Schizosaccharomyces pombe: one gene and its partner. The protein of the gene in region 1 interacts with the protein of each later gene in a pairwise test. Each region holds a gene or a part of one and is shown on either strand. Other genes may lie near its edges.

Region 1 (4,113 bases):
GAAACTCCTGGATGCATTGCACGTCGTAGGAATTTATTGCGCTTGTACGAAACAATCGTGGATGCTGGAGTTCGATCAGAGCTATTACTTTCTCTCTTAGAGAGGAAGGAACTTACAAACGAACAATTGGATACTAACGAAAAATACTTGCAAAGTGCACTCTCCTATACGCAACCTACAGAAGACAGTTCAAGCCTTTTGGATAGTGATGCAAACGCTGTTATGATGAGTTGGGAACGAAAAATAATGCATCGTTCTGCTGAAATTATTGCACCAACCAAGGGCCGCCGTGTTTTGAATGTCGGCTTTGGTCTTGGAATAATAGATACGTTCCTTCAGGAAAAGGAGCCTTCGCTTCATGTGATCATTGAGCCCCATCCGGACGTTCTGAAACATATGCGTAAAAACGGTTGGATGGATCGTGAAAATGTGATTGTATATGAGACAACTTGGGAGAACGCTATTAACGACATTGCGTCTAAATACGTTTTCGATGGCATCTACTATGATGCTTTCGCAGAAAGCTACGAAGATCTTCGAAACTTCTTTGATTCAGTTGTTGGTCTCTTAGATCCTGAAACAGATTCCAAGTTCTCCTTTTTTAACGGATTGGGCGCCGACAACCAAACATTTTACGATGTTTACAAAAAATTGGTCCCCATCGATCTTGTATCGTTCGGGCTTCAATGTACATACGAATCCATGCCCGTAAGTAGTAAAGACGAGGAATGGAAAGGCGCAAAGCGTCGATACTGGGATGTTTCAAAGTATTTCTTGCCCATTGTCACTTTTGATTTTTAAACTTGCTGAACTATACGCTTGTCATCGGACGGAACTTTGGAATTTAGTTTTTGGGACTAAGGATAAACTATCTTAATACAATTTTGTCTATATCATTTTATTATTTGAAATTCAACTTTCATAAGCATAATTAAGTTGTAATGTTAAACAGACGTATTTTTCTTTTTTTTTAGTATCTTAAAACTGCTATCGTTTATTGAACATTATAAATCACTGAAGCGTAAGTAAACTGACAATTTAGAAAAAACTTATTTTTACACAACAAGTAAGCTTTCTATCTAGGAGAAGCATATATAGAATTCGTCATCGTACTTAAATTAAACGACTAAACATATTCATTCAAATCGATTAATATGATCATCGCGATAAAACAGAGTACGATGACTTTCCAGGTAAAGTCACTAAAAGTCTTGTTCAGGTAAATCTGGCAAAACTTGCAAGCATGGCATAATAATCTAAATATCACCAAAAGATTGGGCCGTATAAATTTTATTACAAAAGGAAAAAGGGAAGAGGGAAGTCTTGATACAAAGGGTATTATCCTTGAAATATATGAACACCAATAAGCCTGATTGATATATTCTAGAAACGAACAAAGGAATTAAAGATCACTCAACAAAGATTCAATAGCACCTTGCACGTTTCCTCCACTTCTTCTTAGTGCTTGAACGTTACGCTCGAAATCCACAAAGCCCATTTCATTAAGCTGGCTCAATTGCTCAGCATAACGCTCTTCTGGAGGGCGAGTATCTTGAGCAGGAGCTGGAGGAGAGGCAGCTCCCCCAAGGCCAGCTCCCAAACCGGCGTCTCCCAAACCAGCACCGAAGCCAGCTCCTCCCAAGTTATTTAATAAATTTTGAATGGTGTTGGCAGCAGCAGTTTGATCAACAGGTGCGGCACCTGCAATACCAGCTGTAGCATTATTAGCCCCTCCAAATCCACCTAAACCAGCTCCACCTAAACCGCCTAAGCCAGCTCCTCCTAGACCACCCCCCATTAAGGACATAGGGTCAATACCGGCAGCACCCATTTGTTGATGTAGTTGAGCCATTTGGCGCATTGTGTCGGGATCAGTCATCGCGCGACGGAACTCAGGGGACTGCATCATTTGACGGACATAAGGAGGTGCATTACGAAGATGCGGGCTGCTATTAATAATCATATCCAACATTTGAGGATTTGAAAACATCTCATTAATAGAAGACTGCACCATAGGATTAGACAACATATTGGCAAGCTCTTCGGTCGAGGGTGGAACAGGATTCTCAGGATTAGGACCAAACATAGATGCTGATGGCATAGGGATATTAAATCCAGCGTAACGAGCGCTAGTTAAATTGGCAAGAGGATTATTAGCACCCTGACCTGCTTGAATATTCGTTGGAACTTGTTGAGTGCGGTCCGATACATTCGTGGCGGCGGCTGCAGGATTTTGTCCTAAGGTTTTTACCAAATGTATACTATGTCCATCTTGAATTTTGTATGTTTTTAATGACTCTTCATCTTTCAGAACGCGACCAGCGTAAATCAGTCTTTGTCGTTCCTTCTCTATATCAGCTACAGGCGCAATGGCTTCCTTTAATGCAAGTACAGAAGATTCACTATCAACTGTAACTGCGTACTTTTGATCATTTGCCGCCTTAATAGTCAACGATATATTGGTCATGTTGTTGGGTTTGGTTAGGTATTTTCCACTCGTTCGATGACGCTCTTATGTAAAAGAAGTATCTTCGGTGAGCTTCAGTGGACCCTTTCTTCAGGTCCCAAAAACTCCGAATGGTGACCCAGTTCTCCGTTTTGGTTACCGACGTCTCCGAATTCACCGAGTTGTGACCGAACGCCATAAACATTTCACTGTCCTGATACAACTTTCAGCAAGACCCAAATCAATGTGTAAGTGTAAGAGGCGGCAAAGCTGGTCCCTTGGAATTTATTAAAATTTGCTAACAAAATCAATAGCTTTCAACCCAGGTAATAACCAGAATTCAGGGTTTTCATTTGGGAAACCTGCGCAGCCGAATTCAGCTGCGCAAGGAGCAGCAACTCCTGCGGCGACTGGCTTGTTTGGAAACACAAATAATAATACCTCTTCTACAGCGCCGTCTGGAGGCTTATTTGGTTCTAATAACGCGAGTAACACCAGTGCTCCCAGTACCTTTTCTTTTGGTAAAGCAGCGACTACAGGCAACTCAACAAATGCATCAACGAGTTCACCTTTTTCGTTTGGGTCTACTAATACCAACAATACTGCTGGGGCTAAACCTCTTTTCGGAGGTTTAGGAAGTACCGGGTCTGCTAACTCTACTGGTGATAAAAGTAAAAACACCGCTTCTTCTGCTACAGGTGCAGCAACTACTAATCCTTCAGGTAGTACTTTTAATTTTGGAAGTTCAAATAATTCTTTTAATTTCGGTAAACCCGCTTCTACGACTAATACGACGACTCCGGCAGCCGCTAGTACTGGTTCTTTGTTTGGGAAGCCTGCTGCTACAGGGACTACAAGCAATGCCCCTCCAGCTTCTTCTACTTCTACGACACCTGCTACTGGAAGCGGAGGTTTTAGCTTTGGAAAACCTGCTAGTTTAGGCTCTACTAATAATGCATCCACTTCAACCACTGCTAATTCAGGCTTTAGCTTCGGAAAGCCTGCAACTACTTCAGCTCCAGGATCTAACACTACTGTCACCCCCAGTAGCTCCATTACGGGAACCAATGACTCAAAGCCTGCTGCATCTAACACTGGTTCTGCTCCAACTACTGGTTTCTCTTTTGGTAAGCCTGCGGGCCAAGCAGCTTCAACCGCAACGGACAAAGGTACTACCACCACATCTTCAGCTGGTACTGGATTTAGTTTTGGAAAACCTGCAACTACAGAGGATACTAATAAACCTACTGCTCCCAACTCAGCTTTTACAAAACCGGCTACTTCAACTGGTGATAATAAGCCAACATTTTCTTTTGGAAACACTTCAAAACCTACGGAAAATACTAGCACAACAGCAACTTCAGCTCCGCCACTTTCGAACAATACGAAACCTGCAGAAGGTGCGAATCAGACTAGCTCTGGATTTTCATTTGGTAAACCTGCAACTGATACTACAACATCTACTTCAAAAACCGGTCCCCTTTTTGGTAATAAACCTGCCGATCCCAGCGCCAAGCCGGGCGCTACTGCCTCCACTACTCCTTCTGAGCCTCCTCCATCTTCTATCAAACACAAAACTCTTCAGGAAATCCTTAATAAATGGTCTACTGATTTGACTACGCAAACTGAAGTTTTTAATAAGCTTTGTGACCAGGTTTCTGACTGGG
Region 2 (3,493 bases), on another chromosome or scaffold:
GAGAAGGCGCTAGTGTCTGTAATGAATCCTGCGAGTCATCATGCTCATTAGAAAATCCCAAGTCGGTTGCTTTAACCCCTAATTTATGAAAAATTTTCTTGGCAAGTGCTCCCATTTCTTGCTGTATATTTTCTAAAGATATTTTGCTTTTAGTTGAGTCAATCGTTTCTTTTTCAGAGACATTGTCAGAAAACTCCTGCTGGACTTCCTTTTCAATGTTAGTTTCATAGATGGGATGCATAGTCGTAGTATTATCAGGGTTCGTCAACTCCATATTTACTATACTATCTGAAACAATATTCTCTCCAAAGATACTACTCATTTTGGATCTTGAGGATGCTGGCAAAAGACAAGTTGAATGTTTGTTTACTATGGATCATTTGATCATTGCAGTCTGCATTTAGTCCACTGAGGAAAGTAAACAAAACTTTAAAATTCATATTTATTACTCAACAATGATTGTATTAGTATTATCTTGAACTTACAAAAATCTCACTGTATATTGCCAATTTAACTTGTTTACTTTACGAAACATCGCTAATAATGGACGCTAGTATACCTACACCTCAGTTGCAGTTCGCCATAAATTTCACCATTGAGAGTTTCTATACTAAGAAATAATATTTTCAAAGTTTTTATGAGTATTAGATGTCATTCTTATGAACAATTTGGAACAGTATGCAGTAAACTTGTCGCGACTGTAGATAAACATTCTCTAACAAAAGAATTAGATTAGAACGATTGGAACAATCGATTACTCTAGCACTTTACGAAATTGATGCAAATTTTTCTAAATGTCATCGAACAGTGACTACCAAAATCTTGCCTATCGTGGAAAAATACGCAAAAAATTGTAACACTATATGGGACTCTTCAAAAGTATGTTCAATGGCAACTGCCACTCATGATTCAGCTTGTAATTTGTATTATTTTAAGAATTAAGCTAACAGAAAACAGTTTTGGAAGCAGTTTTTTGAAGCAAGTGCCAATGTTTCACTTTCGGGTGTAGAGGAACCTGTTCCAGTAGAATCCAATCCAAGCGATCAAGATGTTATGTCTAATTCTACAGAGGCGGACCTACAGCTGCACACAAAGAATGAACATTTGGAAAAGAGGCATTCTTTTGTCGGAAAATCTGATTTTCCCGATGCAGCTGTACAAGGAGATAATACAAAAAACGAGGATTTTGTACAGTCCACTCCTAAGAAGATGGATGTCTCCTTAGAGGATATTTCGTTAGATGATGCAGCTTTGACCCCCATCCCGGCAAGGATGCAGACTCCGCTAAGAAAACCAGAAAATAATCCTCATACAGGTCGTAGTGCCCTTCTGCATCGCGTTTTAGATACAAATTGGCAAGTACAAGTGACTCCACGTGAGCCTAAGAATTTGCAATCTCAAGAAGTAATGGATATTGATTCTTCTCCTTTTGTATCGCCTTCTCCCATATCAATGAAAATGGACATGCCTTCACTTAACGATAGAAACTCTTCGCATGCTCTTTCTTTATTTGCAGAATTTGAGCATGAAAGCTATGATAGCATTAACCCAAGTGGAATGTCTCCACCTAAAACTATCCAATTCAGCCCGCATACCATGGGGGTGGGTTCTTCTCAGCAAGCCAACGAGCGAAGCCTGTCTTTGCAGAGGAAATTAGAAACCTTGAATGATTCTAATGATAGTTTTGTCAAAGAAGAAGATAGTTGGGAACTCTGATAAAGCACTGCTGAAGTTATCACCTTCGTTTCGCCTTTAGTAGTGAACCTTACTTTCGCATTTTTTCTATTTATTTTCTAAGCACATATGTCTACTTCATAAAATCCCACCTTATATTTATGTTATATAATTTTTTATTTACTGTACGTTCTATTTAATTTGGAAAATTCTTCTTTTAAGAGAATCATAAGTCACGGTATAAATACTGTAAACCAAGTAAAATTTGTATGAAAATAATTTTAAAATAAACTAAGAAAGCAAATAACTATAAAATTTTTAAATAAATTAGTATTATAGCCTAATTAATAAATCTTTTTACAGCATATCATTGAGAATATACGTTAAGACGAATAACGAGGTTTTAAAAATTCTAAAAAAGTCTAAAGAATTTTAGTGACTTGGTTAATAATAGTTTGCCTGGTTGAGCAGACAGGTGAACTTAGTATCCACCACTCTTTTTTGTGCAAGGAAAATGGGGTTTGACGTTGCAGGCTATTTACAATCATATTCATTGAAGGACTGGATTCGAATTATCGTATATGTTGGAGGATATATGTTAATCCGGCCATATTTGATGAAGTTGGGAGCCAAGATACAGGAGAGAGAACATAGAAAATCTTTATTAGAAGGCGAAGTAGATGGTACTTTAGATCCGGAAATGACGCATGGCACGAAGCCCAAAGAACATGGAGAATTTGACACGGATGATGAGGAAGAAGAAGAAAATCCTGATGCCGAATTCCGTTGGGGTTATTCAGCACGCCGCCGTATTCGCAAACAACGTGAAGAATACTTTAAGAATCAAGACAAATCTCCTCTTGATGCTTACGCTGATGATGATGAAGACATCGAAGAGCACCTTGAGGATTAATTCTAGTTGTGAGATAATATTCATTACTCCAAGCACTTTAGAAAACTTGTGTCATTTAGTTTGTTAATCATTGTTTTAATTTCTTTGTGAAAATTTGATATCCTTTTCTCTTGAAACCGTGACTGCATGGATGAAAGCAAAAGCTAATTAATTGAATGTAGGATTAATAATGCAATTTGAGAGTGCATTCTTTTCCTACGAGATCAACGAAAGTCCTTTGATTGTTTCTCCTTTTTCTTGCATTTTTAAGTCATAATATCTTTTCGTGAGCCAAGCTTTAATCAATCCCCTGTTAGGTTTAATTTCAGCGTTTAGATCAATTTATTTTTCTTTCCCACTCATTCCAGTATTTTGAGTTGAAATATTACGTATTCTAAATAATCCTTAAATGCTCTAACAAAATTTAAGTATTTGCGGTAATATTACGATAAACGCTATTAACGCATGCATATGGGTTCAAATTTGCTTATTTTGAGCTTGACATGTTACGTTTCGGGGTGGGCTCTTACCGTCCATGTTTCGATCATTTGGACGTTTGTTTAGGGGCTCTGAAGAGAGCCCTACTATCAATGATTTGACTTCAATAACCATTTATCCTCAATGTTTCATTAGTACTGGTAAAGAGTACGGTAGTGAACCCAAGCACATATCAGTTCATGTTCGCGGTTGGGTTTACGAGAACCCTGATCTCAATAATCTTGGTCGTAAAGATCGTTTAATGTTGAATTTACTTCGTAGATATGTCGGTCTGCCTCCAAAATCCAAAGAAACGGGAACATATCCTGAAAAGGATGACGAAAACACAAATTTGCAGGTTGTAGTAGACACGAAAGCTCAATTGAACGTGAACGTGAATGATGGAAAGCCTAATGATATTGAATTATCATCAACCTCTAAAACTGAGAA

What was found.
Region 2: the proteins of dsk2 (region 1) and pga2 interact in a two-hybrid assay, tested with the Schizosaccharomyces pombe proteins (2 studies listed by BioGRID).

What each region holds. Positions count from the first base shown.
Region 1 is NC_003424.3:3,368,097-3,372,209, reverse strand, and holds dsk2 (UBA domain protein Dph1/Dsk2), read right to left. Parts: upstream 2,484-4,113; 5' UTR 2,468-2,483; coding exon 1,403-2,467; 3' UTR 826-1,402; downstream 1-825. Other genes in the region: rmt2 (N-methyltransferase), read left to right, coding at 1-801; nucleoporin Nsp1, read left to right, coding at 2,691-2,694, 2,761-4,113. UniProt on the Schizosaccharomyces pombe protein: Protects ubiquitin chains against dissambly by deubiquitinating enzymes thereby promoting protein degradation.
Region 2 is NC_003423.3:1,560,731-1,564,223, reverse strand, and holds pga2 (protein trafficking protein Pga2), read left to right. Parts: upstream 1-2,151; 5' UTR 2,152-2,188; coding exon 2,189-2,587; 3' UTR 2,588-2,898; downstream 2,899-3,493. Other genes in the region: protein meu25, read right to left, coding at 1-322; DASH complex subunit Ask1, read left to right, coding at 660-676, 732-879, 958-1,716; app1 (actin cortical patch protein), read left to right, coding at 3,102-3,493.